Rhinolophus ferrumequinum: one gene and its partners. The protein of the gene in region 4 interacts with the protein of the main gene of each other region in a pairwise test. Links are inferred from orthologs where the notes say so. Each region holds a gene or a part of one and is shown on either strand. Other genes may lie near its edges. The genes, in order: FABP3, HSF2, CRCT1 and NUP62.

Region 1 (7,779 bases), on a different chromosome or scaffold from region 4:
CCTCTGTCTTTTGCCATCATTTGTTCTCTCAGACCCACAGTATCTAGAACTCTTAGGGAACAAGGAAGCGATTTCCTAGTGGCAGAAAGAACACTCCATTCCACCCACTGTGGCCGCAATCCCCCTGCATTGTGAGCTCAGGGAGGTGTGGATGGAAAAGAGAAAGTAATTTCACAGGGGATCTGATCATAAATTCCTAGCTGGGCAGGTTCTGGCAGTAGTCACACCCCAGGCATAGAACTGCTTTCGTAAAAGCCTTGTCTTTACCTTAAGCAAGCCCTGTCCATCGTCTCTATGCATCTAGGTTAACACCCCTTTGAAATGTCTCTTTTCAGACCCCTCCTTCTAAAGCATGAGCACCTTCAAGAGGGCACATAATCTTAACTGTCCTGTAATTCGATCCCTGCCTTGCTCTCTTCCATCTTCTTGTAATCTTCCTTAACCTCAAGTGCACAGAAGAAACTGCAAACTATTATCCTTGGCAGCATTTACCTCACTCTGTTGAGTTCTTGCTTCCAGGTGTATCTTTAATTAGGCTCCAATAAATTTTGGCAAAAATTCTCTACCGGTTTGGACATTTCTTACCTTAACAGAGGGCAAAAGTGGTGCCTCTCCTATTTACCCTGGATCCCCACTGAGCCCCAGCACAGTGCTTGGACACAGGAGGTGTTCGACTAAGAGTGGTAGAATGGACGAATTATTTAAAGAGAAAGGGAGAGATGAGGACACCTCTCTGCAGTCTCTGAAGGCTCTGGATGACCTTAGTGAGAAGGAGATAATACCTGCATGCTTTTCTATTGGTTCAAGGTCTCAAAGAGCCTTGATTCACTCTTGATCACCTCTGGGACAACTGCCCTGGGAGGAAATCCAAAAGGGAGAAGGGAGGTGGGGGCTGGGCACCATTCACTGAATATCAGTGTTAGGCTTTCCATATGTTATCTCTTTTCATCCTCATGACAGCCCTGAGAAGTAGATGGCCTTCCTCCATCTGGGAGGAAAGGAGACTCAGAAGGGGGAAGGGACTTGCTCAGGTCTCTAGCTAGTTAAGTGGCAGGCTTGGGATTTAGAGCCAGATACTGCTTTTGAATACCCCATGCACCAAGGGAGAGATTGAAGGATGTGGAGAAACCTAACGATTCTGAAGGGAACCAAAGTTTTGCTACTCTGAAGCTTCCATTTTGGGATATTGATTTTAAGTTGTTTATTACGAAACAAGACTCAGAAAGAACCTTTGACCCTCCCCCCTTTCCTCCCTGAGAGATTCAAGTGGAAAGGCCTACTCCAGAAAGGGATTCTGAGGATGGCTGCCTTAGCCTAACTTGAATTAAGTGTGGTAAATAAGAGGGCTTCAGGCAGAGGCCTGTTAGCTAGATGCCCCTGTGTCCGAGTTGCCTAGCAATAATTTGCCTCCAATGTGTGATGTGTGATGATCCCCTCTTCTTCAACTACCTATAAATCACGCGTTCTCACTTCTGAAATGGAACACCCCAGGCCCCTTCTTTTCTCCTTTCTACAAAAATGTCTTACATCCCCAATGTTGCCTCACTGTCTTTGGAATTTTCAAACTGATGTGAATTCCCCATGCGTATATGTTAATGTTTTATTTTCTCCTGTTAATCTGTCTGTGTTCATTTGGTTCTTGGCCCAGCTAGAAGAACTTAGGCAGTGGAAGGAAAAGTATCAATCTTTGTTTAGCCCCCACAATTCCATGGCAGACAGAGACCGAGCGCCACACCACCATTACCAGACAAAGAGAACATTTCCCAGTTGCAGGTAGTGGGGTGGGGTGGAGGCAGTCAGCATCTACAGAATGAGGCCGTCAAGGGGCAAAGGAAGGGGGTCGCTGTGTCCCTGGATCAGTGGAGCCTCCTGCTCAGCATCTTTGGCCCGTGCCTCTCGCATCGCTCCCTGTGCCAGCAGCACATCCCCCAATGGAGGTGTCCAGATGGGAGGGAGGATCCAGGGAACAGCTGAAGATGCTGAGTAGGCCTCCCTCCCCTCCCTCCCTATGGCCCCATGGATCACGCGGGGCTGCCAGCCCATCTCATTGGCTCTCTCCTGGTTACTCATCTCTCCTCTTCTCCATCTTTCCAGCCTGTGGTTGTCATGGAAACAGAGAACAGTGACATCAGCATAGGGTGAGGGCTGGTGAGATGCTGCTCTTCGCAGGGACTGGGCCTGCTGCCTACCAGATGTTATATCCACATCTGGATTGCCAAGATCAAGAAAGGGGGACAGGACAAGGAAAAGGGCTTACATTCCTTCCCCTTCCCAAATGTAGTGAGTATAACAGGCAAGGAGGATGCAGGTAATCGGAGGGAGGAGGGAGAGGATGAGAAGCAGGTGGAAAAGCGTAAGGTGTGGCATAGGAGTCAACTTTGGTGCCTCAGGACTGAGCTGCGGTGGGGAGATGGTCGTAGGGCAGTGAGAACAGCAGGTCTCGGGTTTGTCTGGAGTTCCTCAAAGCACCACGCTGCTTAACACAGGCAGGGCCCAAGAGAGCAAGCAAAATGACTTTCTGGCAGCATCCCCCTCAACCCCTCCCATAGATCTCTATAGCCCCTTCCTCACGGCTGCAGCAGTTTCTAACTCTGTCTCAAAAATACGAAAATTGAGGATTAGAGAAGCAAAGCAATCTGCCTTGGGAGGCCCAGCAGGTGATGAGCAGAGCTCAGACCAGGTGTTGGGAGTCCTGCATTCTCCACTGAGATTATAACAGCAGCAGCAGCAGAAGAGAACATTTATTAAGCATACCATGCTCAGCATTTTCAATGCATCATCTCATTTGATCCCCAAACACCTCTATGGGGTAAATGCTATTTATCATTACCTCCATTTTTAAGATGAAACTGAGACTTAGAGTGCCTTAAGTGAATTGCCCATGGCCACATAGCTAGAACTCAATGGTATGAGAATTAGAACACAGATTTATCTGCCAGCAGCTGTTAGCCCAACCCCAGATCTCCATCACTGCGTTATAAGGACTACGGAGAGAGAGAGCTCTTGTCCCTGGGTCTCTAGCCACTCAGTGCTTGAGCGAGGACGCTGTGTGTCTAAAGGCTGTGACCTTGAGTTAGAAACCATCCCACTCCCCTCCTTGCCCCCCCTCTACCCCCCCACACACACTTGCTCTGGCAGTGAAGTCACCAGGGCTCCATGCCAAGCCCTGAGGCCTGTCCCTGAAGCTTTGGCAGAAATAGGCCTCTCAGTCTTCTGGCAAGTGAATCTGTCCAAAATAATCAGGACCTTGGGGGAGAGAGGGCTCTTCCTCCCTGGCCTCCTTCCCAGAAAGTGAGGGGAAGGAAGGTAGGAGCCTATGTTCTCCACTTCCACGTGGGGAAACAAAGGCCCAGGAAGGAGGGTCCACCACGCTGTATATGGCAGAGCTGGCAGGAGCCCAGGGCTACTAGGCCTGCAGCTCCTGCATATCCCCCTGGGTGAACCTCTGCTGGTTGAAGTTCAGTTGGGAATTTGCTTATCCCTCACTTCCTCCAGGAAGTCTCCCCTGAACCCCAAATCAGGACAGGCCTCCCTTTACAGTCACCATGCTAGTTTTGTATCTGCCTACCCAAAGGTGAGCTGTGTGAGTGTGTGTCTTATTACGGTTGTCTCTCCAGAGCCTAGCCCTGGGCCTGGCACAAAGTAGGTGCTTTAATGAATGGTTAAGAAATGAATGGTTCCTCTACGCTTCAGTTTGCTTATCTGTAAAACCGGGATAATAACAACACCTACCTCACGGACTTTGTTAAAAAGTCCTATGAGACCCTCAGCACGCAATAAACATCAATACGAGGTGTGTCTTATCAACAGAGCTTTGTAAACTAGAACGTGCAGAAAAACCACTGGGTAGTTTCTTCAAAGGAGGCGACTGACCGCTTGCTTGTGGGCAGAGGTCAGAGAAAGGACAGCAGGTGAGGGCTGTAGCAGTCCGGCAGGTAGGGGACAGAATTTCTGAAGGAGGACAAGCGAACCGATCACAGCAAATGCCAGAGCTGTGCACAGAGGTCAGAAAAGCCTGGAGCCTTGACAGGGTGGATGGGCAGTTGGACTGCTGGGTGGAAAGGCACATGCGGGAGACATTCCGCAGGGAGGGGAGAGCACGTGTGGAGCGGGCAGGGCCTGAAAGGATAATGCTTTCGCCCCCAGCAGGTACAGGGGCAGCTCTGCTGCCCATGGAGTCCCTAGTGACTCTCCCCGCCACCGAGCAGTGGGGCGTGGCGGGAGAGCGCAGATTCTGGTGCCAACTAGACCAGGCTTGCAATCTGGGCTCCAATTCACCCTTTCATTTACTGTGACCTTGTCAGTTCCCCTGTTGGTCTGCTCACCTGCAAAATGAGGACCAAGATGCCTGCGCCGCGAAGAGTAAGCCAGAGCTTTCCCGGCGTGGGCATCAGCCCAAGGGCGAGTTTCTTTTCTCCTCCAGTCTCTCATCTCTGCTCTAACTCCAAAATCAGGGAGGGACTGGGGGGATGGAAGACGTCTGCGGTATGCGCCCCAGCTCGCGGGCATCGTGCCCCCAGCTGCTTCCTTCTCAGATTCCAAAGAGCGCCTTGAGGCCAGGGAGGGAGCCGGTCTTGCCAGCCCGGGATAGGGGCTCGGAGGCCCGGCATCCGCGCTGACGCAGGCGAGCAGAACGCCACTGGCTGCCCCCTCCGCTTCGGCGGGCTGGGGGATGGGCGGCCAACCCCTGGAGGGTAAGAGCCAGCCCGGGGCTTCCTATTTCGGGAGCGGGGGTGTGGGCCACGCCTCATCACGTGATGCCAGGGCTATTTAAAGCGGTAGCGCGGGCTAGGAGCTGCGGGTCCTGGAGTCCCTTCCACACCAGCTTTGTCGCTTCTTCTTTCTCAGCGTAGCCCAGCCTCACCATGGTGGACGCCTTCGTGGGCACCTGGAAGCTAGTGGACAGCAAGAATTTCGATGACTACATGAAGTCAATCGGTGAGCGGGATGCTGGTCTGGGGAGGGGTTGGCCACGTGTCCAGACCGGCGCAGCGCTCCCTCCCTGGCTGGTACCCTGCTCGCCTGCTGCGTCCCTCCTGGCCAAGGTTGGGGGGTAAGGTTGGGCGGAAAAGGTGGCAGCCTGGCCTAGGGCATGTGAGGCGTGACGGGAGGGGGCTTTCACCGTCTGAAGCTGGTGAGAGGGATTGCCAGGTAGGAAGGCGCAAGGAGGCAGATGTGCTGGTGGATTTGGGGGTAGAAAGGTGCTTTTGAGGAAGAAAGGTATATGATCTGGAGGTAGGGATAGGGTCTGCATAAAAAGAGAGCACTGACTGAAGACGGTGGGATGCTAGCCAAGGGAGGAAAAGAATAGGAGCATAGGTGGTTTAGGAATTGGAGATGTGAACAGAGAAAGGGAAAGGGGTGACCAGGGAGTATACTGTGGCCTACAGAAGTAGGAAATTTCCAGGAGGAGGGAGATGGAAGAGTGGGGAAGGGCAGTGATGGGATAGGAAAAGGAGGTGGGATAGGGGCCTGCATAGTTAGCAACAATCCCTGCCCCTCCATGCTGGGTAGGGAAAAGGATTTCCCCTGGAGGATTCCTTCTTTCTCACCAGCCAGTCTCTGACCTTGTCCCGCGGTGGTGTGTAACCTGGCTTTAATCACTGCCAGTGAGCCTAGTGGTAGGGTGAGGCAAGAAGTCCCCAAATCACCTAGAACCCAAGGCTCAAGCACTTGTTGGGGACGGGTATGATGGAGAAAGCCACTGGACTTCCCGAGTGCAGCAAAGGGTCCTGGAGCAAGGCCATGACCTGTTAAAGGCAGGGCGGGTCTCTGGTCTAAAAGGGTGTGGTGTTGGGATGCACAAAGGTAAAAATTCAAAGAATCTTACCGGTGAGGTCCTTGGAAACCCCTATACCTTGCCTAGTTCAACAGATGGGGAAACTGAGACACAGAGAAAGTAGAAACGTCATAAAAATTCCACAGCAGAGATGAAACCCTAGATTTCTAGATCTGCAACCCAGATCAGCTCCCATATAGCCCCTAGGTTTGGGAGTGGTTGGAACTCCTTAGCTAAGGACTGACCTCACCCCTTCCCCTCCTAGTATGTGCTTAGATGGAGAGGGTGATAACTGTGTTTCCCGGAAAATAAGCCTCAGTTAAGATCTCAACCAGATGGATGCATTTAGTACGCTATGACAATGTTCCAGAAGATGACATGACTGACTGTAATTGGATAAATGTAGATTGTTGTACATGAAAAAAATAAGACATCCCCTGAAAATAAGCCCTAATGGAGCAAAAATTAATATAAGACCTGGTCTTATTTTCGGGACAACACGATACCCTTTCCTGAAATCCCCGGCTATGAGATTATCCTAGTTCCCCAGGCTGGGACAGGGAAAACTGGAATGTTGGTCATGGTGGAGTTACGTTCCCTGCCTTAGTCCCAGGGAATGCTGGCTGGATTACATCAGATACCCGAGGGGGAGGGGCACTCCAGACACCGCTCACTTCTGTTCCTAACCACAAGTGTTGGCCCTGGAGGCCCCAAAGCCCCTACCTTGTACTGGGTACTACACCTGGACTCCAGGAAGGCAGCCATTCTTGGAGAAGCAGGGGGCCCTGGGCAGCTGTTGGGAAAGTTGGGGTGCCCAGGGTTAGCTCCTCCTCCCAAGCCTCCCACAGCAGACATTCAAGCTGAAGACCTGGGTCCCTGAAGTATGCTGCAACGTGCTTACCACCATTGCCCCCCCTTGGGCTAGGGGGCTAAGAGTCCATCCAACTTGCTTCTCTTGTACAAACTGAAAGGCTGAGGCCCATAGGGAGAAAAGGCCCTCCTCAGCTCTCTCAGTAAATAGCTCGTGTCATTTCTAAGAACTCAGCTCTTCCTAAATCCTCTAAATTCTGTCAGCCCAGTTTCAGTCTCGGTCCCTCCCTCACTCCACAGGTTTCCTTCCTCAAACACTCCATCCCTCCAGGTGGGTCCGATGCAAACAGAACTCCTTGTGCAGTGGCAAGGCCCAGGAGTGGAACTGGCCTCATCCTGACAGTAGGGGGCGAGGCCAAGTCCCTCACTGGCCAGGCAGGGTGGGCCAGCCGCGGCACAGCTGCAGAGGCTGCCTGTGCCCCTCGTTTTAGACCAAAAGTTCTCAGGGGGCAATGAGGCTCAGCCTCGGTCAGTAATTGCAGGCACATGTCACAGGAAGCCGAATGGCCCAGGAAGAGTAGTGAACAGTTCTGGAGCCTAGATTCAAATCTAGGTCAATCACTTACTCTTTGATTTTTGGGCAAGTCACTTCACTCTCTGAGCCTCGTTTGTAAATTGGGGGTATTAAAACCTACCGTTCATGGCTATTATGAGCATTTAAGTACAATAACCCATGGAGGGCATGGGTTAAGTACCTAGCTGCCAACAAGCACTGTGTAGCCAATCACATCTGGGGACTTGACACACACCACCTCACCCCACTGGGCTGCTCCAGCCTCGCCTCTGCCCTGGAGGACAGGTCAGCATAGGCTGCTGGGGGCAGAGGGGCGGGGAAGCTATGATGGGAGGTAAGATGCAAAAAATCGCAGGGACACACCTTAGACTTTGCTTACGAGCTCTTTGTTTTGTACTCTCTTGCAGGACACTTAGGGTTTTACCCAAAACCCAGGGAAGCCATGCTTGGGTCAGGAAGGGAGCCCCCACTGGGCCTTAGACTAGGAACCAGCAGACCTGGATTCGAGTTCTGACTGCACTACCACTTTAGGCCTCTCCTAAATCTGTACACTGAGACAGACATGCCTTCCGCCTACCTCCCAGATCTGGGATAAGAGGCTTTGAAGATGTTTTGT
Region 2 (7,324 bases), on a different chromosome or scaffold from region 4:
AATTTTGATCACTTGGAATATATTTCTATATTTGATGATGACAAAGGGGGTTTTATTTCACTTTTCATTTTTGTCATATAACAAGTTTCAAAGAAAACTAAAGTTATTTACGTCTTTAGGAATATTAAGCCAAGCTTTTCAAACTGCAGTTGGTAAGAGTTTTCTCCCCTTGCCTTACACTCAAGCTAGGGGAGTAAATTATTTTTCAAGTAAAAAAGTATACATATATTGCATACAGTATTGCCTGGTTTCCAAAACATCTGCCGCTTCTAAAAGGTCTTAATATGATTTTCACTTAGAAAGTATAAGTGCTAAATTACCTCAACAAAATTTCAGCAAGACCAGTTTGAAGGAAACCAGAAACCGCCACAAATAGCAAACTTTAAAGGATCAGCGTAACTTATTTTGTTTTTTTCCATCTAACATCGTTTAACTAAAGTTTTACCTTTCATTGTTAACACTGCTTCTGGAAAAATCTCTGGGTAAGAGAGACAGCTTCCCTAAGCCACTAAACAGCCCTAGACAACATTAATCCAGAACTGTCCACTGACTTGTGGAGGGGTAACATTTTGGTAACTAAATATTGTGCCAACCTATATTAAGTGTAGTGATGTTGGTGGACAACTGATCTAGGTCAGAAATCTGTTAGGTTTCCATCTCCAATAATGGCTAGCTTTGTAATTATTAAAACTCATCTGGCCTGTCTAAGCCTCAAATTCTCACCTATATAACGATGAAGCTAAACTAAGATGATCTGTAAGACTCTTTTCAAACATAAGTCTATCTTTATTATGCCTACCACTCTTCCATTACATATTTCAAGGATTTTACTGATTCATCAAACATTTATTAAGTACCTACTGTGTCCCTGGCATAGATACTGTTCCTGTTCTCACTTATATTTTAAATGTCCCGTTATGTATTAGAAAATGTGTAGTTAAGCTTCAACTTAATGGGATAAATAAAGAAAGACTTTTTAAGTGGTTTATTTGGCTTAGAATTCATTACGTATTTATGTATTAGTTTGAAACTCTCCATGTTTGATACTGCCCATAAGAATGTTATTAAAATATTTTGACTAATGAGAATTCATCAGACCTGACACCAACATAATACCCTTTAGTTAAAACCAATTACCAATATACTTAGTTACCATTTCTAGGCAATAAAAACAAAAAGGCCCATGCAAGCCAAAATGGTATAAAAGTCAGCTTGGGTGGGGGGGTACTCTCAGTACGATCTCCAACAGGAATACAAGACTGAGTAACAGCAGTCTGTGCTGATCCACCCTTGTCAACTTTTAATCCTTCTGACTGATGAGAAGCATGAGACATCTGTTTATTTTTAAGCATATGCGGATGGCTGCCTTCCCTATTTTCACCTTTGTAAAACTGTACAGAATTCATCAAATGCTTAATGTACACCATCCAGCTGATACCAACCTTCAAGAAAATTAAGTCCTAGAAGATAAAAAATGAACAAATGACAGTAATGTAAGACATAATATGGTGTTATAGTAGTCAAAACTTCATATACTCAATATAGTGCTCCCTGTTAAGACAAAAGTAAATAATAAAACTGAGAGTTCTTGTAACAGGAAAGGAACAGAAAAGAAATGGAGAAAGAAGGAAGATAACATTTACTCAAGATTTAACAGGTGCCAGACACTGTGCAGGTAGGTTTTTCTTATTCTTTTCCAAACCTTTTAACAAGAAAATATCCCAAACAGATCAGATGATGGTCTACCACAGGAGAAATCCACTCCCCTTCACAAAATGATTCCAAAAGCCTAAGAGTGCATTCTAACACAAATGCACTGTTTATGCAACAACAATCATTCCGCTCAGAATTTTAATATTTCGAAGTAGATGGGGTCTTAGATCATCTAGGCAACCCAATCATCTCATGGGTGATGAAACTTAGGCCAGACAAGAGAAGAGCTTATCCTGGTTTAGTGGCAGTGGGGATCAAACTAATAATCATGGCATCCATATACCTCTGCGGGCAACTGTTCCTGTGAAATTTAGTGATTCATTTTAGCTCCTCGCTAAGTTACTGAACACCTGTCTATTAACAGTTTTATTAAATTAATCTTAAAAATCCATTTATACAAATGGCTCAGAATCTCCAAAGAATAATGTACCATTTTCTACAATTTTAAAACCTACTGATAAGCAGTAACCTGCATTTGAACGTTTGCCTACTTCTCTGCTTGCCTCAGAAAGATCTCAGATGCAAAGAGGTGTGGGTGGGTGAGTGTGTGTGTGTGAGTGAGTGTGTGTTTAGTGACGATAATCGGGTCGTTGAGGGAGATTTCCTCTGTTAAACCCCGGCTTTGAAGATCCCGGCCCAGGGCTGCCTGTGCCCTCAGCAATTCGTAAACCGCGAGTCGGGCAGGAGGACGAAGGATGAGTGTGCAGTAACGTGGCTCCCGCGCCCTCGGCTCGACCGTCGCCCTCGCTCCGCCCGGCGGGTTCCGAACGCCGAACGAGCCGGACCGTTACGGGGCCTCCCGGACCGCGGCGCTCCGGGCGGGCCGCCCCTCCCCCACCGCGGCCTGGGCGAGCGGCGCCGGCCGGGACCCCCGCGGCTCCTCGCAGTTCCCTGCGTGAACAATACAAGGGGTTCTCCGCGACTCCGAATGCCGAGGACCGCGCCGCACCGCCACCCCATGGGCCTCGCACAGGGTGTCGAGCCACAGGCCGCAAGACACAACGCTACAGGAGAAAGCAAGAGACGCGGCGACAAGCCAGGGGGTTCGGAGGCCGCCGTACCCTGACCCGTACCTGGCTCCAGGTGATGAACTCGTTGGTGTGGGTTTCCTCCACAAGCGTCCAGAGCTTGCTGAGGAAAGCTGGCACGTTCGAACTCTGCTTCATTGTTAACGAGGCGCAGGGATTCCAAATTCTATAGCCGAACGCGGCGGTAGCGGCGGCGGCTGCAGCTGCTCCGGGAGAACGCCCACAACGCAGGCGCAGCGGTTCCCGGGCCCGCCCCCCAACCTCGCCAGGCGCTCCGCGAGGCGGGGAAGCCCCGAGGCCGCGCGTGATAGACAAGTCTCCGCGTTCGCCTGTGCTCACTGGTCCCGCGCGGGTCTCGTTCCCGGCCAATCCCGGGCGCCGACCCAGGACAGAGATAAGCGATTGGATGCTGCGGACGTGAAGGGGGTGGGAGCAGAACGGGGCGCTGCCTTCTCATTCGCCTTTTATACAAGAGCCTTCACTGTAGCGGACTTTTGGCCTAGGTTACTGTGTTTGGTTGTTTCACGTGGAAACAGTTTTGGGTTCCTGGGCTGTGGCTGAGAGTCTACAAAAAGTCCTCACAGGCCTGAGTCATATGTGTGGCGGGCAATGTGTGGTTTGCGCCAGTCAGCAGGAGGGAGTATAGTAATTCAGATGGGGGTGTGGGCTGGGTTTCAAGCATGATGTGCTAGGCCTCACATTGAAACTATCTTAGATATTAGGAAGCTTGACCTTAAATTTTAATTAGAAAATGGGCCCTTTAAAATACGTTTACCAAAAAGAGGAATTTAAATAACTCACTCTTTACTAAGCACGTACTGCTGTGAACCTGGATCTATAATAGGAGCCTTACATGGTGTTTTTAATTCAACAGACATTGAATGCCCATTATATGCTCAGCATAAAAAGAAATAGTCTTACTTACACTATTTTAATCAAGTAAAATAATTGTTCCCATATGAGCTTTACAGAGATATTGTTTGTGGAGACAGTTTGGTTATGGTGGAAAAAAATATTGGACAAGTAGCATATCTTTTAGACCCAGCTTTGAGGACACTTTAGTGGATATTAAATTTAACTGCTAACATGTAATTTAGAGCAATTCCTTAATCTGTCAGTGCCAGTCTTTTCCATTTCCTCATTGGGAATAGGAGTATCTCTCTTTTCACCCATGTAAGGTAATACTAACATAACAGGTGTGCAAATGCTTTGAAACTATAAAGAATTATAACAAGTCAGTGATGATAAAACTATACAAAACTTAACAAAAGATTGGCTTACTGGGAACATGTGAAATAATACATTAAAAAAATAAAATACCATTTCCAATGAGCAATGATTATTGAGTACTGACTTTTATGTTCAGCACTGGTCTGTTTGCTGAAGCAAAATCAGATGTATGGTGGCATACATCTGATAAAGAAACTAATATTTGATGAGCCCTTATATGTGCCCAGGATTTTATATGTATTATCTCATTTAATCCTCACAACAACCCTAGGAAGTAGGACTATTATCACATTTTTCCAATGAAGATTCTAAGGCTCAAAGTGAATTAATTTACCTACATCACAATTAGTAAATGAGAGAGGATACTTTACATCCAGGACTCTAAATGCTGTGCTCTTTCCATTGTATGATGATGGTACCATCTTGAAGCTTAATTTATATTCTAATTCAAGAAACAACATGAACACAATGATCAGCAATCATTAATATTTAAAAACTAAGAACTAAATTTATGGTATAAAACAAGTACTTGAAAAGTTTACAAAAACTTTAAGTGAGTTAAGGTGACTTTTAAGTGAGTTAAGTGAGTTTAAGTGAGTTAAGTGAATTAAGATGGTAAGGGAGGACTTCATGGAGGCTGGGACCTTAAGTTGGGTCTGGAGTACAAATACATTTGGATAGCTTAAAGGAAGACAACAGTGAGCAAAGATGGAGAGATTAACGAGCGTGGTCTGTCTATGAACAGCAGAGTTAAGGAGATAAGATTGGTAGTATATGAGGGAGAAATGTGGCCTCTTTTCATGACATTGTATTATTTCCATCTGAAAAAAGAAAAGGTGTGATTAGATACAAGCAGAAACTCCTCTTTGGACATTCAATCTGTACAGTTATAGGCCTGTGCTTAGTAGAACCCTTTACTTGGTTTAATGCTCTGCTCTCACCATCTCGAAATTCTTAATTTTTGAACAAGAGATCCTGCATTTTCATTTTGCACTGGCCCCTTAGATTATGTAACTGGTGTGCTTCCAGTGTATTAGATCTCATAGACCAATAGTTCTCAAAATTAAGCATGTATCCAAATCACTTGGAGGGGAAAGACTGTCAATATAACAAATGAACAAAAATCACTTATCAGGCAGTATTTGTAAAACTCATAAGGACAACTAAGGAGCTAAGTTATTAACCAGATATCTGGTGTTGGCCCAGCAAATAGATGATGTGTCTAAAATCACATGGCTGAAGTTGGAATTGAAACCATTTTGTCTTTTCTAGTCTGAAACATACGCTTTTTTTCCCTTTACGCCAGCGTGCCTCAAGCTTTAGCCTACACCAGAATCTCCTGGAGGGCTTCTGAAAAAACAGATTGCTGCTTCTCCCCCAACCCCACTCACAGGGTTCAGGCTAAGACTTTGTATTTTTAACAAGTTGCCAGGTGATACAGATGCTGCTGGTCCTGGGCCAACACTTTGAGAACTACTGTTATAGAGAAAAAGTTAGTAAACTAACCTTTCCTTGCAAACGTATACAGACTTTTTGTTACCCTTCGTCTCCTGACAAAATCCAGCCATTTCAGGAATAATTTACACTACTGTATTTTCTTTTTCTATGAACTTAATTCTTAATATTTATTGTAATTAATAAACTGTTTGAAAACTTTATTGACTAGAGACATTCTGAGGGAAGAGAAAATCAACGTTGGCTCATTTGCACTTATTTATAAAACCGAGCAGCAAACAAAACCAAGCTTTTTAATTCACAATTATTTGCCACCCACAATATCCCACAAATGTCAGAAGAAACAAATTTGAGCTAGTGTCAACAATTTTGAAATGTTTACAATATTAAAGGATACAAATGTCACTTTCTTAAAGTGAGTGGCCTCCTTCTGACTCCAAATAAAAATGTTGGAATATTTCCATGGCTCATTTGTAGCCTGCAGTGTAAGATTTAGAAAATTTAGAATAACATTAGAAAATATGAGTGACCCAGGCTTTGCCTAGGGAATAGAAAAGCATATTGTGGAGCACTTTGATGATTCAAAGCATCTGATTCAGACTGTACAAATTCTGTCTAACCAATTATGCAAAATTAGTTTGAATCAGCAGTAGAAACAGAACTTTTAAAGATTATTTTCAAGGATAACATTACTCAACTGTACTGAGGTTTCCACGTACATTCCTATCTGGACAAAGTGTTATTTTGTTCAATTTTGGAATGACCTAGGAAACGTGAGGCAAATCACTTGACACCTCCAAAGTAGGATCCCTCTGTATAAATGAAGTGAAAATACCTGCTATACTCACTTCACAGAGTGGTTTTGAGGTTCAGATGAATTGCTTCTTCCTCCAGTCCATCCTCACAATCTTTACAGGTATCTTTTAAAACACAAATCTGAAAAGGTCACTTCCTGACTTAAAACCATTTAGTGATTTCCCATAATTTTCAGGATAAATCCAAACCCCTTGAGGTTGCATAAAAGACCTTCTATGATCTGATGCTACCTACCATTCCAGTCACTGACCACAACGCTTCACAAACACAGTACCCTTAGCCAAACCTAATTGCATGTAGTTACCTTACTGGCCATGTTCTTTCATACTTCTAAATATTTCTGCAAGCTGTTGCCTCTGCCTGGAGAGCATTTCTTCCCCATTATCCTGTGAGTTCCTCCTTAACCTTCAAGGTCAAGTACAATTCCATATATATAAGTCGTCTTTTTTGTGACACTTTCACTGGAGACATTTATTACAGCCCTTATTGCATCATTTGTAATTATTGACTTTCATGTGTTTTTTTTTTCATATTAGACTATGAAACTCTACATAAGACTATGTCATATTTACATTTATTCTGACCTACAATGGCTATCACAGTGCCTGGTACACATTAGCCTCTCAATAAATATTTGTTGAATTAATCAACGAATACACGATCTTGAGGGCTAACCATCCATTTAGTCTTCCATGAGCATCAAATGTGGATTAGTTGTTTCTCCCATATGCTCCCATAGCATGTGGAATTTGACCTTCATGGTATTTGCCACACTGCTATTGCTCATTTACTTCTCGGAATCCCTCATTAGCCTGACAGATTGTGCTTGCAGCATTCACTCTTGTATCCTTAGCAGTAAACACAATGCTAATAAATAATACAGGAATGGCTTAATAAGTATATGTTGAACGAATAGTTTTAGTTTTTGAAGCCCTTTGGGTAAAATGTCCTCTATCTAGTAAGGAAACTCCTTACAATTTATTAAGTCTCAGTTCATATATACTTTTTAGGTAATAAGAGAAGAAAATGAAGACAAGGAGAGCTTAAGCATAGCTTAACTGAGAGGCAAGTGATTGAGGAGC
Region 3 (7,091 bases), on a different chromosome or scaffold from region 4:
CGGGGAGCATAGCAGAGCTGCCTGTGAGATTGGCAGGCGTGTGTGTGTGTGTGTGTGTGTGTGTGTGTGTGTGTGAGTGTAATCCTCCAAGCTCCATCACCACCACAGGCCTGCAATTCTCTCTGTGCCTTAGTGCTTGTCATGCTTATGGGGGGAGGAATCTGGTCCTTGGATGTGAGGGGAGGGTAGTCACCCGGGGCCCTTGGGAAAGAAGCTCTCAGCACCTACTGATGCCAGCTCAGGGCTGGGTCTGTATAAAAGGCAGGAGCTTCTGACAGCTCAGTTCACCTGCCTCCTGGGTGTCCTGCTCCAGTCCCTGAAGCAGGTAAAGCCCATCTCGAGGACCTGCAGGGACTCTTGGTGCTGGCATTTGGGGCAGAGTGAAGCCCTGGGCGGAGGACAGTATTGAGAAAAGACAAGAAGGGAGGACATGGAGGGCGGGCTGTGCTGCAAGGGGAGGGTGGAAGGCGGGGAAGCAGAATCGGTGTCTTTTGGAAGCTGCACTTGAAGTTACTGGAGTTCCTGGGCGGAAACCTTTGGCCTGTTTCTTGTAACTGATTTTGCGAGACTGAGTTTGAAAAATATGATCATCATAAAAATGAAATCTTGTGAATTCACATTTCACTGTTGAATGCAAGGGCGTTGTGTCGAGTTAGTTGAACTTAAAACTTCTGTATTGTCTTTCGGCTTCATTCGGCTCCTGCCAACATGTCCTGCCAGCAGAACCAGCAGCAGTGCCAGCCCCCTCCCAAGTGTCCCCCCAAGAGTCTCCCCAAATGTCCACCCAAGTGTCCTCCCAAATGTCCCCCCCAGTGCCCAGCCCCCTGCCCACCTCCAGTCTCTTCCGGTTGTGGGCCTGGGGGTGGGGGCTGCTGTTGCCCCAACTCTGGGGGCGGGGGCTGCTGCCTGGGCCACCACAGGCCCCGCCGATCTCTGCGCCGCCGACACCACTACTCTGACTGCTGTGGCAGTGGAGGCGGCAACCAATCTGGGGGCTCTGGCTGCTGCTCTGGGGGCTCCAGCTGTTGTTCTGGGGGCTCCGGCTGCTGCTGACGTGGCCGTGAGTAGCACCGAGGAGCCGCTTTACAGGAGCCAAGGTGCCCACGACCCAGCCCTGTGGCTTCTCCTCCTTCCCCAGGGAATGGTGGCCTCAGCTCCTGTCTCCTTGCGCCCGTGTTCCTCCGCTGTGAGGAGGGCCAGAGGGCTGACCTGGGTCTTCGCCTGACTCTACCCTCGGACACACTTCTTTGGCGACTGGTGTTGCAGTGCAGTTAGGCCGCTGTTTTCTCTGCCACAATAAAGCTTTCTCACCCGGATGCCACAGCCTCCTGGTGAAGTTATGTCCACCTCTCCCACTCCCCGCCCCTTCTCTGAAGTGCACGTGAACCCTTTAAAAATCAGTCTGGGAAGCAATTTGGCAGTGAAGCCCCTTAGACCGCTGGGAAACATACTCCCGTTGGCGCATTGAATGTGGGAACGTGAAGTTGAAGGGGAGAGTCCTGTCTGAGACCATCACGTTGACACAAGTCTTGCAGGGCGAGAGTTGGGGACAGGTTTTCGGGGCGGAAAGGATGGCGATACCCAGAAGGGTCACACTGAGATGAGCTACTCCCGGACGGTTTCCTTCAAGCAAAGGTGAGGGTTAAAAAGGGCTCTGTCTGCTGGTTATGGGAAGTAGGGCCACCCAAAGTGTTGGTTCTGGGCCCCAGTGAATGGACACCCTTTATTTCTCTGACTTCCAGGTGCTTCCATCCGTTGATTAGAGAAGAGCTGATGGGGGTTTCGTGAGTTTAGGAAGCAGGGATGAAATGTCTGAGCCCATTTTCCTGAAAGCCTGAGTTTGGGTCTGAGTAGAGAACCAAGAAGGACAACCTCCGCCATGTGGTTTGTGTGTGTGTGTGTGGGGGGGAGAGTGGTAGGAGGGAAGAGCAGGGGAGCTCTGGTGACTGTATCCAGTTTTCTGTTTCCTTTAGGCACAGGCTGATTCCTCAGGAGATATTTAGAATGGTTGCGATAGAAATGATAATTCCAACGCAGCCTTTTATGTACGAGATATGATAATTAAGTTCATGAACTGGCCACCGTGCGCTTACATTGGCAGCGCCGTGCAAACAGCCGGGGAAGGTTTCATAACCTTGGTATATCAGTGTCTCACAGCTGTGTCCGTGTCCACGTGTGGCGGTGTTTTGCTGAGTGGCGTTCATTATTGTTGTTGCGCTTTTGTGTGCCGGAGTATGTCTGAGCTTGAATTAGAGCCATGAACAAACATTACATTTCTTGTTAAACTTGGCAAAAGTGGAAGTGAAATCAGGGACATGTTAGTCCAAGTTTATGAGGTTAATGCCATGATGAAAATGGCCGTGTACAAATGTTTTTCTGAGGGGAGAGGACGTGTCACTGATGAAGAGAGGTCAGGGCAGCCAATAAAGAGCAGAGCTGACGAAAACATTGCAAAAATTCATCGAATAGTGTGTCAAAAATCTCTGGGTGACTGTGAGAAGCATAGCAGACCAACTAAACATAGATAGAGAAACAGGAAACTCTTAACTAAAAATCTTGGCATGAGAAAGGTGTGTGCAAAAATGGTCTCAAAGGAGTTCATTGATGAACAAAAACAAAGGAGAGTTGAAGATTGCCAAGACCTTTGGGAGAGGCAAGGTGATGTTTTGGGCCATGTTTTCACTCGTGATGAATGAATACGACCAATACGACCCTGAAACAGAGCATCAAAGTGCACAATGGACGTCAGCCATTCTCCAAGACCACTAATGTTCTGTCAGTCCAAATCAAGAGTCAAAATGATGTTGCTAACCTTTTTGACATCAGAGGGATTATTCATTATGAATTTGTACCAACTGGACAAACAGTTAACCAAGTTTATTATTTGGAAGTGCTGAAAAGGCTGCATGAAAAAGTTAGATGAAAACGACCTGATCTTTTCGCCAACAATTCGTGGCTCTTGCATCACGACAATGCACCAGCTCACACGGCACTATCTGTGAGGGAGTTTTTAGCCAGTAAACAAATAACTGTAGTGGAACACCCTCCCTACTTCCCTGACCTAGCCCCCAATGACTTCTTTCTTCACCCGAAGATAAAGGAAATATTGAAAGGAAGGCATTTTGATGACATTCAGGACATTAAGGGAAATACACTGATGGCCTTTCCAGAAAAACCATTCCAAAATTGCTTTGAGGGGTGGACTAGGCACTGGCATCGGTGCACAGCTTCTCCCAAGGGGGCTACTTTGAAGGTGACATAGTGATATTCAGCAGTGAGGTCTGGAGCACTTTTTGTAGGATGAATTTGCGAGCTTAATTGTCAGACCTGGTACAAGGTAAACAACTAGCCCTTCCTTTGGTATGAGTTAACAGTGACGGGTAACGTGAGTTAGTGTATGAGCTGGTACATGAGGACCAAGTCCACGTAATGAGCACAGACTTGCCTAAACCACCTCCCAGAGAAGAGCCTGTCCCCAGCTGGTGACTTCATTCCGTCTCTAATACTGACCTCACTTCTGGGAATGTCTCACCTGTACTCACCAACAGGTGACCCTTGGTGCATGCAACCTGTTAATCAGGCTCTGAAGCCATGGTAAATGAAACTGGTATCTTTTGTGACTTACCGTTCCTTGTCTGTTCCCTCGTGCCACCCCCAGCTCACGCACCCCCAAACCTACGTCTCACCATCAACTCTCAAATTCTTAGTCTTGGATTTCTTGGATCTCACATTCATGGTTGCGAGCAAGTACATTGATTAAGGAACAGTTATGAAGCCAGTTGACCTCCAAAGTCTCTCCCAAGTCTTAAAAGTTAGTTATTCTAAAACACCATTTCTCATGGACACTTGGAACCTTGGGAAAGACCTCTCTCTCTCTCTCTCTCTCTCTCTCTCTCTCTCTCTTTCTCTCTCTCTACCCCTCTCCCCCCTCCCCTTCCTTCCTTCCTTCCTTCTTTCCTTCCTTCCTTCCTTCCTTCCTTCCTTCCTTCCTTCCTTCCCTCCCTCTTTCCATTTGGCAATGGCCCCAAGGAGAACCTATCTTCAAAGGCAGTTTGGGATGGGCTGAGGAGCAGAGAGGCCGCAGGCTGGCTTGGCATTGCCGCAGAACCAGCCTCCTGCATACAGTTGTCTCTTTGATGTGGTAGCATGACTACATTCACAGCTTTTCTGGTCTTAATGGCTCCATAACTGCTTGGGTTTTTCTTCCTGCTTCCAGTGACAGAGAGACACTGCCACTGGGATTCCCACAGCCACATCCCTGCCGTCGCCTTCATTCAGTGCCATCTGGAAGCATCTGGATGAAACCCAGCAGGCTCCTCACTAGCGTGTGGCCTGACTCGAGGATCCAAGGCCCCAGAACCAGAGACACGCAAACCAGGACCCCGAGTGGATGAACGGCCAAGATATGACCACGCAGGGATGGATGTGTGAACGGGAGCGGTGTGTGTGTGTGTGTGTGTGTGTGTGTGTGTGTGTGTGTATGTGTGTATGAGTGTGTGTACACTGTGAAAAAGGGCAAACACAACAGGTCCTGCGAAAGGGCCGCAGACCTCTCCTCACTGCGTCTCCGTGCTGTGTCTTCACCCACACAGCCCTCCCAGCTATGACCCGTGTCCTGTTTGGAAAGTAAACATGCCACAACAATCCTGGCACCTCTGTGCAGTGAGTTCAACGTGCACGTGCACCACCTACAGTGTTACCTAAGTGACAAACGTCTCAGGGATGTGAGTGTCAGCTGAGCCTGTCTGTTGGGAAACAGGCTCCTCCCAAGGTCCAGCACCTATGGAATCTATAAAAGGTTTTCTCGCTGGAAGCTGGTCAGTCCACAGCCTAGCAGGTGGCCCGGTCCAGTTGGAAAGCTGAGTGTCTTCTGGTGGCGCCAGGGGCTGGTGAGTCTCTACACAGGGCCTGGGGAGGAGGCTGGGGAAAGGGGAAGGCAGGACACAGCTGGACGGAGAGCCCTGGAATGTGCACTAAGCGTCAGGTGAGCCAGCCTCTCATGGTACCAGTGAAGGCACGGAGGCCAGATGGGTTGGGGGGGCTTCCCGGGCAAGCCTGGAGCAGAGCTGTGGCTAGGACCCGGGTCATGGCCCCCCAGTCTGGGGTGCATTTCCACCTTGGGCGCCACTCTCCTGTTCCTGTGGTTGTGGTAAATGAGAGGCTAGGGCAGAGGAGACCTAGACAGAGATGCGTCGGGCCTTTGTGGATTCTTCAGACCCGCTTCGGGGATGCAGGCTGATCGGGGAGTTTCTGACGGCCGGGGCATGCATGCCGGGCCAGTAACTACGCGACCGTCACTTGGAAGTCTGTGGCCACATGAGATGGGAGACGGGAAGAGCCAGGAGAAGTTTGGACGGGATCCTACAGCTACCGTGTTTCCCCGAAAATAAGGCCTAGCCAGACCATCAGCTCTAATGCATCTTTTGCAGCAAAAATTAATATAAGACCCCGTCTTATATTATATTATGTTATGTTATGTTATGTTATATTCCGGATCTTATGTATTATAGACCTGATCTTACATTAATTTTTGCTCCACAAGATGTATTATTAGAGCTGATGATGGTCCGTCTAGGTCTTATTTTCTGGGAAACGGGATACATTGCTTCAGTGTCCTCGCTGTTTTCCACGGTGGAGAACTTGGGTGTTCCTTATTCTATCCCCAGAAATTAGGAAAGCACTGACTGTGCACAGACTGTTCCCCGCTCTGTGCACGTGTAACGCCCTGGAAACACCTCTTCGGGGGTTGGTTTCTTTGCTCCCCCTCTTTTCTTCCTCGCACCGGGCAGGCTGTCTTGCTCACACAGCCAAATCTCAAGCGCCACCAGTTCCACTGTTGGAAAGGAAACGTCTGTCGACCTCGCGTGTGAAAGGCTGCTTTTCTTTCTTGCAGGTTAACGGTGACGACCCCGCCATGTCCTCCCAGCAAAGCGCGGCTTTGGCCAAGGGCTATCCCAAGGGCGCTTCCCAGGGCTCCGCCCCGGCGCCCGCCCCGGTGCCCGCCCCGGTTCCCTCTTCCTCGTCCTCCTGCTGCGGCGGCGGCTGCTGCGGCGGCGACTCCGGTGGCTGCTGCGGGGACTCCGGCTGCTGCGGGGACTCCGGCTGCTGCGGCTCGGTGTCCACCGGTTGCTGCTGCTTCCCTAGGAGGCGCCGCCGGCAGCGCAGGAGCGGGAGCGGGTGCTGCGGGGGCGGCAGCCAGAGGTCGCAGTGCTCCGGCAACACCCAGAGCCAAGGCTGCTGCGGCAGCTGCTGCGGCGGCTGCTGAGACCCCCGCCGCCCCGAAGAGCCGTGCGACAGCCACCGGCCGGCCTGCAGTCTCTGCCTCCTCCGGTCACCAAGCTCGCGCTCAGGGCTGGGCCTCCGACTTTGACCCCCATCAAGCTAACTGCACTTGGACGTCCAGAAACCCAGCCTGTTCTCAGCCCGCAAAACTCCCTGACCCCTGTGTGATTTTCCTGCTTGGATGGGACACTGGACTCTACTGTCTGCATGGGCTTGCACGTAGTAGGTGTTCAGTAAAAGCCTATTGATCTGATTGCCTTTTAAAGACATGTCATAATAAAGCTACCTCCTGAGAACACCCCTCTGGCTGTTTGTGCTTTCCGTCTGTGTGTGTGTTGTGTTCTGCCACCCCTTCCACTTCCTCACTCAGCCCAGCTTTGGCATATTTGCAAAAGGCAGGAAACTGAAATAATCTCTGCTTGAACAAGGGTGCTTTTCTGGAACTTCATCACGACAGCAGAAGTCGCCTATGGAGCCAGGCAGTCTTCTAAGGATTGCAGTGACACGCGGCGTCTCATTTCATTCTCACGATGACTCAGTGAGGTAAGGGCTGTTATCCCCACTGTATAGAAGAGAAACTGAGGACGCATCACTTGATCAGTCACTCAGCCGGTACGTGATGGAGAAGACCAGATACCCAGCTCCAGGGCTTATGCTCCTAACTGCTCCGCTGGGTCCCCCCAAAACCTTCCAGAGCCTTGCCCACCCTCCTACCCGCTGGGCCCAGGCAACTGAGCCGCAAAGGTTTGCATCTGCCGCACCTGGCTTTGGAAACAGGCAGCTGAGACGTTTTTTGGCTTTTGTCCCAG
Region 4 (7,597 bases):
ACCCACGCTTCCAGCCCCAGCTCGAGTTGGAAAGGAAAGGCTGGGTTACTCTGCGAAGGTGGGGGAGGCTGAGGCGTTTGAGTCCTGGAGGGGCCACAGGTCCGGGTCAGGGGTGGGCATGAGCGAGGGCTCAGGCTCACAGGCAGCCACTGATGACCCACCGCCCATAAATTAGAATATGCCAGGAAGGGCTAGAGAGCTGAGTCTGGAGAACTGGCCCCCACCCAGCAGGTCTGAGTCAAGCTGCTTGGGTGGGGCAGTTGGCATCAGAGTTGAACTGGGTGGAATAGGACAGCTAGAGAGAGAAGGCGGTACGGGGGCTGGGACAGGGAACCAGGATCCCTGCCCCACGGCCTTCTCAGTCGGCATACACCTCACACAGCCGCAGCACGACTCCCATACTGAGCAAGCTCCTTTCTGGTTATTAAAAAATACCCTACCTGACCGTCCCCTCAAAAACCGATAGTCCCAGTCTCTGAGACAAAACCAAACTGAGGGATATTCCATAGAATATCTGACCAGCACTCCTCAAAACTGTCAAGATCATAAAAGACAAGGAAAGTCAGAGAAACGACTGCAGATCAGGAGACACAATGACAAATGTCATATGGCAACCTGGACAGGATCCTGGAACAAAAAAGGACTATAGGGAACAACCAGTGAAATCAGAATAAAGTTGAAGTTTAGTTAATAGACGTGTACAGATGAGATGTTGGTTTTTCAGCTATGACAAGTGTATCACAGTAACGTAAGATGAAAACAATGGAAAAAATTAGGTGAGGAGTATATGGAAACTGTACACTATCTTTTTTGCAATTTTTCTGTAAACCTAGAATTATTCCCAAATAGTTTATTTAAAAAAAAACAACTCTACCTACTTCCCACACATAACCTAGAAGGTCTTCTCAGAAAAACTGTGTGTGTGTGTGTGCGCACGCGCGCGCCTGTGCCATCCGACTACCAGCAGTCTGTCCAATCGTCTACCCTAACCCTGCCTGGTCTTGCTCAAATCTCTATACTGACAAGTAGGAAGAGATCGGTCCTGAAGTTCCACTTAAAAGGTGGAAGACCAATCACAGTTTTAAAGCACTAACTGCTTAGCAGTGGAGATAAAATATATCCCACCTCAGTAACCACCACCATCACCACCCCTTATGTGTATAGCACCTCGTGTGTGCCAGGCACTAGTCTAAGCGCTTGACCTGGATTAACTCATTTAATCCTCATAACAGCCCTAAAAAGCAGGTACCATTAATGGCCTCTTCTTTCTAAGGGAAACTGCCAGTACCACAAGGCTAGTAAGTGCGGTGCGTCAGGGTTTGAACCTAAATAACGGGGCTCCAGAATCTATGTCTTAACCACTACTCTGTGCTGCCTAGGTAATAATGGAGCCTCTACAGACTCGAGGAAATATAGGGCAAGTGCTCAAATACTGGCAGAGAGGACGGTAAGTGCCCTAAGGCAAAGCGCTCAGATGCCAAGGACTTCCTGCATGCAACCAGGGGGAAGGCAGAAGCCCGCTTCTCTTTACTGCCCACGTAACTCTCAAGATCAGGGTTCCCCCACCTTCTCTGGATCTTGCTTCAGTCTCATAACTGCCACAGAAGTGATGAAGGTTGAACTCCAGGGTAATGTCTTGACGTGGATGGATGCAGGGTGGGAAAGACAGGTTTCTGCAGCAGAGAAAAGACCCACACCCATTTGGGCTGGCAGAGGACCCAGCGCACAGGGAGGAGATGGCCAGGAAGCTCGCTCTCTTTTAGTAAATGGAAGTGGAAGTCCCCCCATTCTTGGCAGGGTTGGGAGACTGATCCACTGGGGGGCGTCTCAGGAAGTCAGGGAGAGGGGCAGGGCCAGAAGAATGAAACAACTGGCCTGAAAGGAATGCTGCGGCCAAGGATTGAGGGAAGGTGGGCAGGGGAGGGAGAAAAGGATGGAGTGGGGGCGATGATGCCAGATTCTCTGCACCCCTACACCAGGATGGGGCTGAGCGGCCATTACTTGGAATGGGGGAGGGTGGGGATGGCTGGAAATTGACACCTTGGAGGAACGGAGACAAAAGAACGACCTGTTAGCTGGTACTGGATGGTCAAGTGTCTGAGGCTTTTGCGGGGAGTGCGTGTGTGGGGGTGTGAGACTGGGGCCCCCGAGTTCCTATTAATAATAAAATAGGTTGAACAGACACGTATAAGCGGGTCTTTGTGCTTAGGTCTTCACAGGCATCGACTTCCTTAATTCTCACAAATAACCCCATTAGGTAGAGTTGGTTATTCTAATATTATAGATAGTTCCCTATCTATGAGGCTAGAGAAGTTATTTGCCCAAGACCAGCATGGCAGGTATGTGATTAGAATGGAGCTTAGGCTGGGACTCGCGGGACTCTAACCCACAAAAAGCGTTCTCAGCGTGAGCAGGCAGTTGGGGAAAGCAGAGATGAGCGTGTGGCCGGCCGGAAATTCATGAAGCAGGGGAAAGGAAATGAGAAATTCACCAGTGAGGGTCTCAGGGAGGAGGAAATCAGGCCTAGGATCGAGAGAGCAGGAGGGCCAGAGCCAGCAGAAGGGGGATGAACCGTAGAGCCACCGGGAAGGGAGGGCCAAACCCCAGGGGTCGAAAGGAGGAGGGGGCCGGATGCCCAAGAGGAGGGGGCCAGGCCCGCCTCCGGGTTGGACCGCGCGGAGGCGGGGCGCGGAAGGATCCGGGCGGTCCCGTGCTGCGCCGCCCGAGATATATCTGTTCCCACTCCCCGGGGCCACCACATTCCCCATCCTCAGATCACGATCTCTCCTCACACTACGGCGAAGCCGCCTTTGCCCGCGAAGCCCCGGCCATGGCTCTGTAGCTGCGAACCCTCCGTGCCCCCCGCCCGTCTCCGCGCTCACCGCGCCTGCGCTCTTCGCTCCTGCCTTCTTTATTCAGCCGAGGCCGCCGCTGCCTCTCCTTTCCACAGCCATGGAGTGAGTAACCGTTCACCCCTCCCTCTCCAACCGCCTTTCCCGCCGTTTCGAAGCTCGCGGCCCTCACCACCAGGCTTGGAGGTTGGGGAGACGAAAGTGAGGGATCACGGTCGCGCAGGCGCAGAAGAGGGAAAACCAGCATGGGCGCGCGGCCGAGCATGCGTACTCGGCCCGATGGTGGGGGAGGGTGTCTTTTTCTTGCGTTGGCGTTTATAGATGGCCTGCGTACGGTTGCGCCTGCGCACCAGCCCTCAGAGAGTTTTTTTTTTCCTTCTTCCGGAACGAGTCTGTCTTCGCGCTGTTGCTCATGCGCGTCAGCCCACCAGAGCCCATATTGTGCGAAGGGCTGGCAGTAGGCGGCTGCACATGCGCACTGACGCCCCCCCGCGTAGACGTGAGAACAATGGGACCGTTCTGGTGGTGGAGCTGCGCCAAATTTGGCCCTCGGCGAGAGAGCCAAGTGTGGAAGGTTGGCGTAGAGAGCTGTTCTCTGCTGGCCACCTCCACCTTCCCTGGTCCACGTTGCTTAGTCGCCTGCTCCACATCGCTTAGGCGCGCAGCATAGCGTCTCTCCCTTTCATTCAGGCATCTGCTGGGGCGGGTGCTAGTTTACACTGACTGGGTAGAAGGCAGAGCGTAAAGACAAGGGGGTGGAGCTAGGATCTCAGCCTTGACGAACGATAAGGCTAGGGAGAGTATTATGCGAAGGGGCGGGGCTAAGCGAACCGTTAGATGAGGGGTGGGGTTTCGATTGGAGAAATAATAGGGGCCTGCGGGGGAGGGGTGCAGCTAAGATAGTGGGGCGGGGCTGGGGGGCGGAATAACGGTAGTCCCTGCAGGATTTGAATAGATAACATTGGTGAAGGGGTGGGGCAGGGCGAATTCCCCTGGGAACTGATTTGAGATGGGACCTAGGGAGGGGGTGGGGCCTAAAGGAAGTATTTTAGAGAAAGGAGTGTGGCTGGAAGAAAATTCCCCTGGGACTGAGTTTTTTTTACTGAAGGAATATTATGGGGTGGGTGGGAAGGGCTTAAGATAATTCCCTTGGGAAACCATTATGTTTCTGTATTGGAGGATTGGGTCGGGAATTTTGAAGAAAATAAAGTCGGGCCTAAAGAGAATCCCCTTGGGAGTGGGTGGGGCTCAGATTTGGGGAAAGGGCAGATTTAGAATTCTGAGGGCGAGGCATAGTCCCAACCCAGTTGGAAGGGAAAGGGAGGGGTCCCCCCCCTCAGCGCCCCCTGCCCCCCGGGATGTGGGAGTAGAACTTGGTTTCCCTGCGACTTTGGCGGTGAGTGAGGTTCGCCTATGACCCTGCCCACTTTTGTCTCACACGTGTAGGTCCTCCACTTTCACCTTGGTGCCTGTCTTCGGCCAACTGAGCGACCTCCAGAGCCTCCTTTCACTTGTTGGTGCAGCTTCCTTCATTGCCATTGGTTCCCAGCGCCTGTGCTGCAGCCATGTCACTCCTGGCCACCCTGGGGCTGGAGCTGGACAGGGCCCTGCTCCCAGCTAGCGGGCTGAGCTGGCTCCTAGACTATGGGAAACTCCCCCTGGCCCCTGCCCCCCTGGGCCCCTATGAGGTCCTTGGGGGAGCCCTGGAGGGCGGGCTTCCAGGGGGGGGAGAGCCCCTGGCAGGTAAGGACAGGTGAAGAATGGAGGTGGTGTGGAGCTGTGGTGTGGGGCACAAGACAGAAGGAGGGAGAATTTATTCATTCATACATTCATTTGATAAATAATTATTAAGCACCTGTAATATGCCAGGCACTATTTTAGGTGCCGGGGATATAGCTGGGAACAAGACTGACATCCCTGCCCTCCTGGAGCTCACACTCTAGCTACAAAATGACATTGTGGACCTAGTTTAAAGTCCATAGCCAGGAAACCCTCTCCAAGTAGGTAATGTTTTGGCTGAAGCCTAAAGGATGGGAAGGAATGAGCTATGAAAAGACCCAAGGGAAGAACTGTTTAGGTGGAGAAAATAGCATATGCAGAAGCCCTGAGACGGATTATTTTATTCCTTTAGTGTGTCCCCAATGCTTGTCATATAGTGGGTTTTCAATAATTAATTAAAGGTGAAACAGGGTGTATTGTGTATGTGTGATCGAGTTTGTGTTTTAAGAAGAAACTAGAAAGTAAATCAAATCACAGATGTGGGTTACTCAGTAAAGAGAATGTTGGAATGGTTGAAGAAATGGTTGGTTGACTGTTTTGTTTTGGTCATTGGTTGGTTGACTAGTTCATTGATTGGTCGGTGAAAAGGGTTGATTGGTTGGTTACTGAATCAGATAGTTGATTGGTTGGCTGGTCCACTGGTTGTTGGTTGGTTGACTGGTTAGTTGGTTGGTTGGTTAGTTGACTGGTTAGACGTTTGACTGGTTCATTGGTTGTCTTCCTCCAATCCTCCAGGTGATGGCTTCTCTGATTGGATGACTGAACGGGTGGACTTTACAGCCCTTCTCCCTCTGGAGCCCCCCTTACCCTCAGGTGCCCTTCCCCCACCTTCCCCACCCTCCCCTGACCTGGAAGCCATGGCCTCGCTCCTCAAGAAGGAGCTGGAGCAGATGGAAGACTTCTTCCTTGATGCCCCACTCCTCCCACCATCCTCCCCACCACCACAGCCACCACCACAAGCGGCACCCTCCCTCCCTGTCCCCCTACCCCCCACCTTTGACCTCCACCAGCCCCCTGCCCTGGACACCCTAGACTTGCTGGCCATCTACTGCCGCAGTGAGGCTGGGCAGGGGGATTCGGGTTTGGCTCCCATGCCCCCACCACAGCAGCGCCCTCCTCTACCTCAAACCTCTCGCCCAGCCCCCTACCCCAGTCCTGCCATCACTCGAGGGGACCGCAAGCAAAAGAAGAGAGACCAGAACAAGTCAGCTGCTTTGAGGTACAGACAGAGGAAGCGGGCAGAGGGTGAGGCCCTGGAGGGCGAGTGTCAGGGGCTGGAGGCACGGAACCGGGAGCTGAGGGAGAGGGCTGAGTCTGTGGAGCGGGAGATCCAATATGTCAAGGACCTGCTCATCGAAGTGTACAAGGCTCGAAGCCAGAGGACCCGCAAGAGCTAGGAGACAGGCAGGGCTTCGGGCGGTAGGGGGCACTGGTCTCCGGCTCTGGCTCACTTCTGTTTCTGGGGCTGAGATGGGAGGGTCCCCCCATCATCCCTCTGCCTCTAGCTTCTTTCCAAAGCCCCCCCTTCTCTCTCTCTCTCCTTTTATCCTTGTCTCCTTTCTTGTCCATTTCTTGTCCATGTTGCTCCCCTTCTCCTCAGAATCATGGATCATTTGGCCTTAGTCAACACCTACACTTTTCAAGTGACAGCTGAGAGACTGAGGCCCCCGGGAGTTCAGGGAGCAGGGGAGAGCTTGGAAACCAGCTCTCGAACGGGGCTGTGAGGCCAGAAAGCTGTGCAGAATGACTGTAAATGAGCACAGGAGAGCCGTCTAGGGAATAAGTCAGAGAGGGTTTTAAGAATGGCACCCATATAATAACATAAGCAGAACAAGCAAGCGAGCTGACCTTGGGAAACTACATTTGGGCAGGGAGCCAAAAGGTAGGCAAGTTTGAAGAGCTGGTGGCTCTGGAGGCAGATGGGGAGCTGGGCAGAGTGGGTGTGGCCATAGTTGGTGAGTGGGTGTTCACTTTAGCTCTGGGAGGAAATCAGTGTTTTGTGAAGGTGTTGGGGCAGGGGCTGCATCTAGGTGAGAGAGGGCGGGAGCGATCCTTTTGGGGGTTGTGGTGGAAATAAAATAAATAACTTCTGGTCTGAGCGTCTTGTCTTTGAGAGAAGAAGTTGGGAGAGGGCAGTTGTAAGCCAAAGACAATGACAATAGAAATAACAGATAGTACTTATGGTCAAGCACACAACACTTGGTACACGGCCCAGGTCACGATGGGACTGATTGAACTGGTAATGATGCAAGACCCACTTTTAGATTCAGACCCTTAATTACTTACATAGATAGCAAAACAAAGGATAGCTAAAGGTGCCAGCGCCCCATGGCCCTCATCACACACCAAAACGGGTGACACGCAAACAAAACGGGCTGGACAGCTGCAACAAGAGTTGTGGGGTACCCCATGTGGAGGAGCCCCTTGTTGATGAAAGCCTCCCAGGGGTATTTGGGAGGTAAGTGGGAGATGGCCTGGTAGCCATAGTGGGGATGGTCCCCTACATCTATCTGTTGAGGGCTCAACTATGTGGCAGGCACTATTTTTTTTTTTTTTAAGGAGGGCACAACTCAGTGGCACGTGTGGGGATCGAACTGGCAACCTTGGTGTTATTAGCACCACGATCTAACCAACTGATGCCAGACAGTATTTTAAGCAGTTGACATTATTTCAGTTAATGCAAAAGGAAGGTACTGTTAGGTTTTGGATGAAGAACCATTTTTAAAGTGAGCAACTCACTGACATTAGTACTTTCGTAGTGTTGTGCAGCCACCACCTCTATCTAGTTAAAAACAGTTCCGCCATCACTCCAGAATAAACTTCATGCTTCCCATCCTCCCGCAATTTGTTTTTGTTTGACACTTGTAATTCCATAAACCAGGGGAATGAGTTTAATTCTTGTTCACCCTTGATAGCTTAGCCTGTAGCCTTTTGTTACATATGAGGACTTGCAATTTTAAGCCTGA

Evidence for each region.
Region 1: the proteins of NUP62 (region 4) and FABP3 interact in binary tests that used the Homo sapiens proteins (3 or more experiments, as listed by UniProt). The two-hybrid records come from large-scale screens. The link is inferred for Rhinolophus ferrumequinum from reciprocal best matches to the Homo sapiens genes NUP62 and FABP3.
Region 2: the proteins of NUP62 (region 4) and HSF2 interact in binary tests that used the Homo sapiens proteins (3 or more experiments, as listed by UniProt). The link is inferred for Rhinolophus ferrumequinum from reciprocal best matches to the Homo sapiens genes NUP62 and HSF2.
Region 3: the proteins of NUP62 (region 4) and CRCT1 interact in binary tests that used the Homo sapiens proteins (3 or more experiments, as listed by UniProt). The two-hybrid records come from large-scale screens. The link is inferred for Rhinolophus ferrumequinum from reciprocal best matches to the Homo sapiens genes NUP62 and CRCT1.

The regions. Positions count from the first base shown.
Region 1 is NC_046292.1:21,496,569-21,504,347, reverse strand, and holds the start of FABP3 (fatty acid-binding protein, heart), read left to right. Parts: upstream 1-4,775; 5' UTR 4,776-4,865; coding exon 4,866-4,938; intron 4,939-7,779. Other genes in the region: SERINC2 (serine incorporator 2), read right to left, coding at 4,326-4,391. UniProt on the Homo sapiens protein: FABPs are thought to play a role in the intracellular transport of long-chain fatty acids and their acyl-CoA esters.
Region 2 is NC_046286.1:71,759,418-71,766,741, reverse strand, and holds the start of HSF2 (heat shock factor protein 2), read right to left. Parts: upstream 3,012-7,324; 5' UTR 2,880-3,011; coding exon 2,787-2,879; intron 1-2,786. UniProt on the Homo sapiens protein: DNA-binding protein that specifically binds heat shock promoter elements (HSE) and activates transcription. In higher eukaryotes, HSF is unable to bind to the HSE unless the cells are heat shocked.
Region 3 is NC_046305.1:52,054,987-52,062,077, forward strand, and holds CRCT1 (cysteine-rich C-terminal protein 1), read left to right. Parts: upstream 1-4,735; 5' UTR 4,736-4,889; intron 4,890-5,893; 5' UTR 5,894-5,914; coding exon 5,915-6,265; 3' UTR 6,266-6,580; downstream 6,581-7,091.
Region 4 is NC_046298.1:44,951,442-44,959,038, forward strand, and holds the start of NUP62 (nuclear pore glycoprotein p62), read right to left. Parts: upstream 3,018-7,597; 5' UTR 2,883-3,017; exon of another isoform or gene 2,821-2,882; intron 1-2,820. Other genes in the region: ATF5 (cyclic AMP-dependent transcription factor ATF-5), read left to right, coding at 4,418-4,595, 5,367-6,028. UniProt on the Homo sapiens protein: Essential component of the nuclear pore complex. The N-terminal is probably involved in nucleocytoplasmic transport.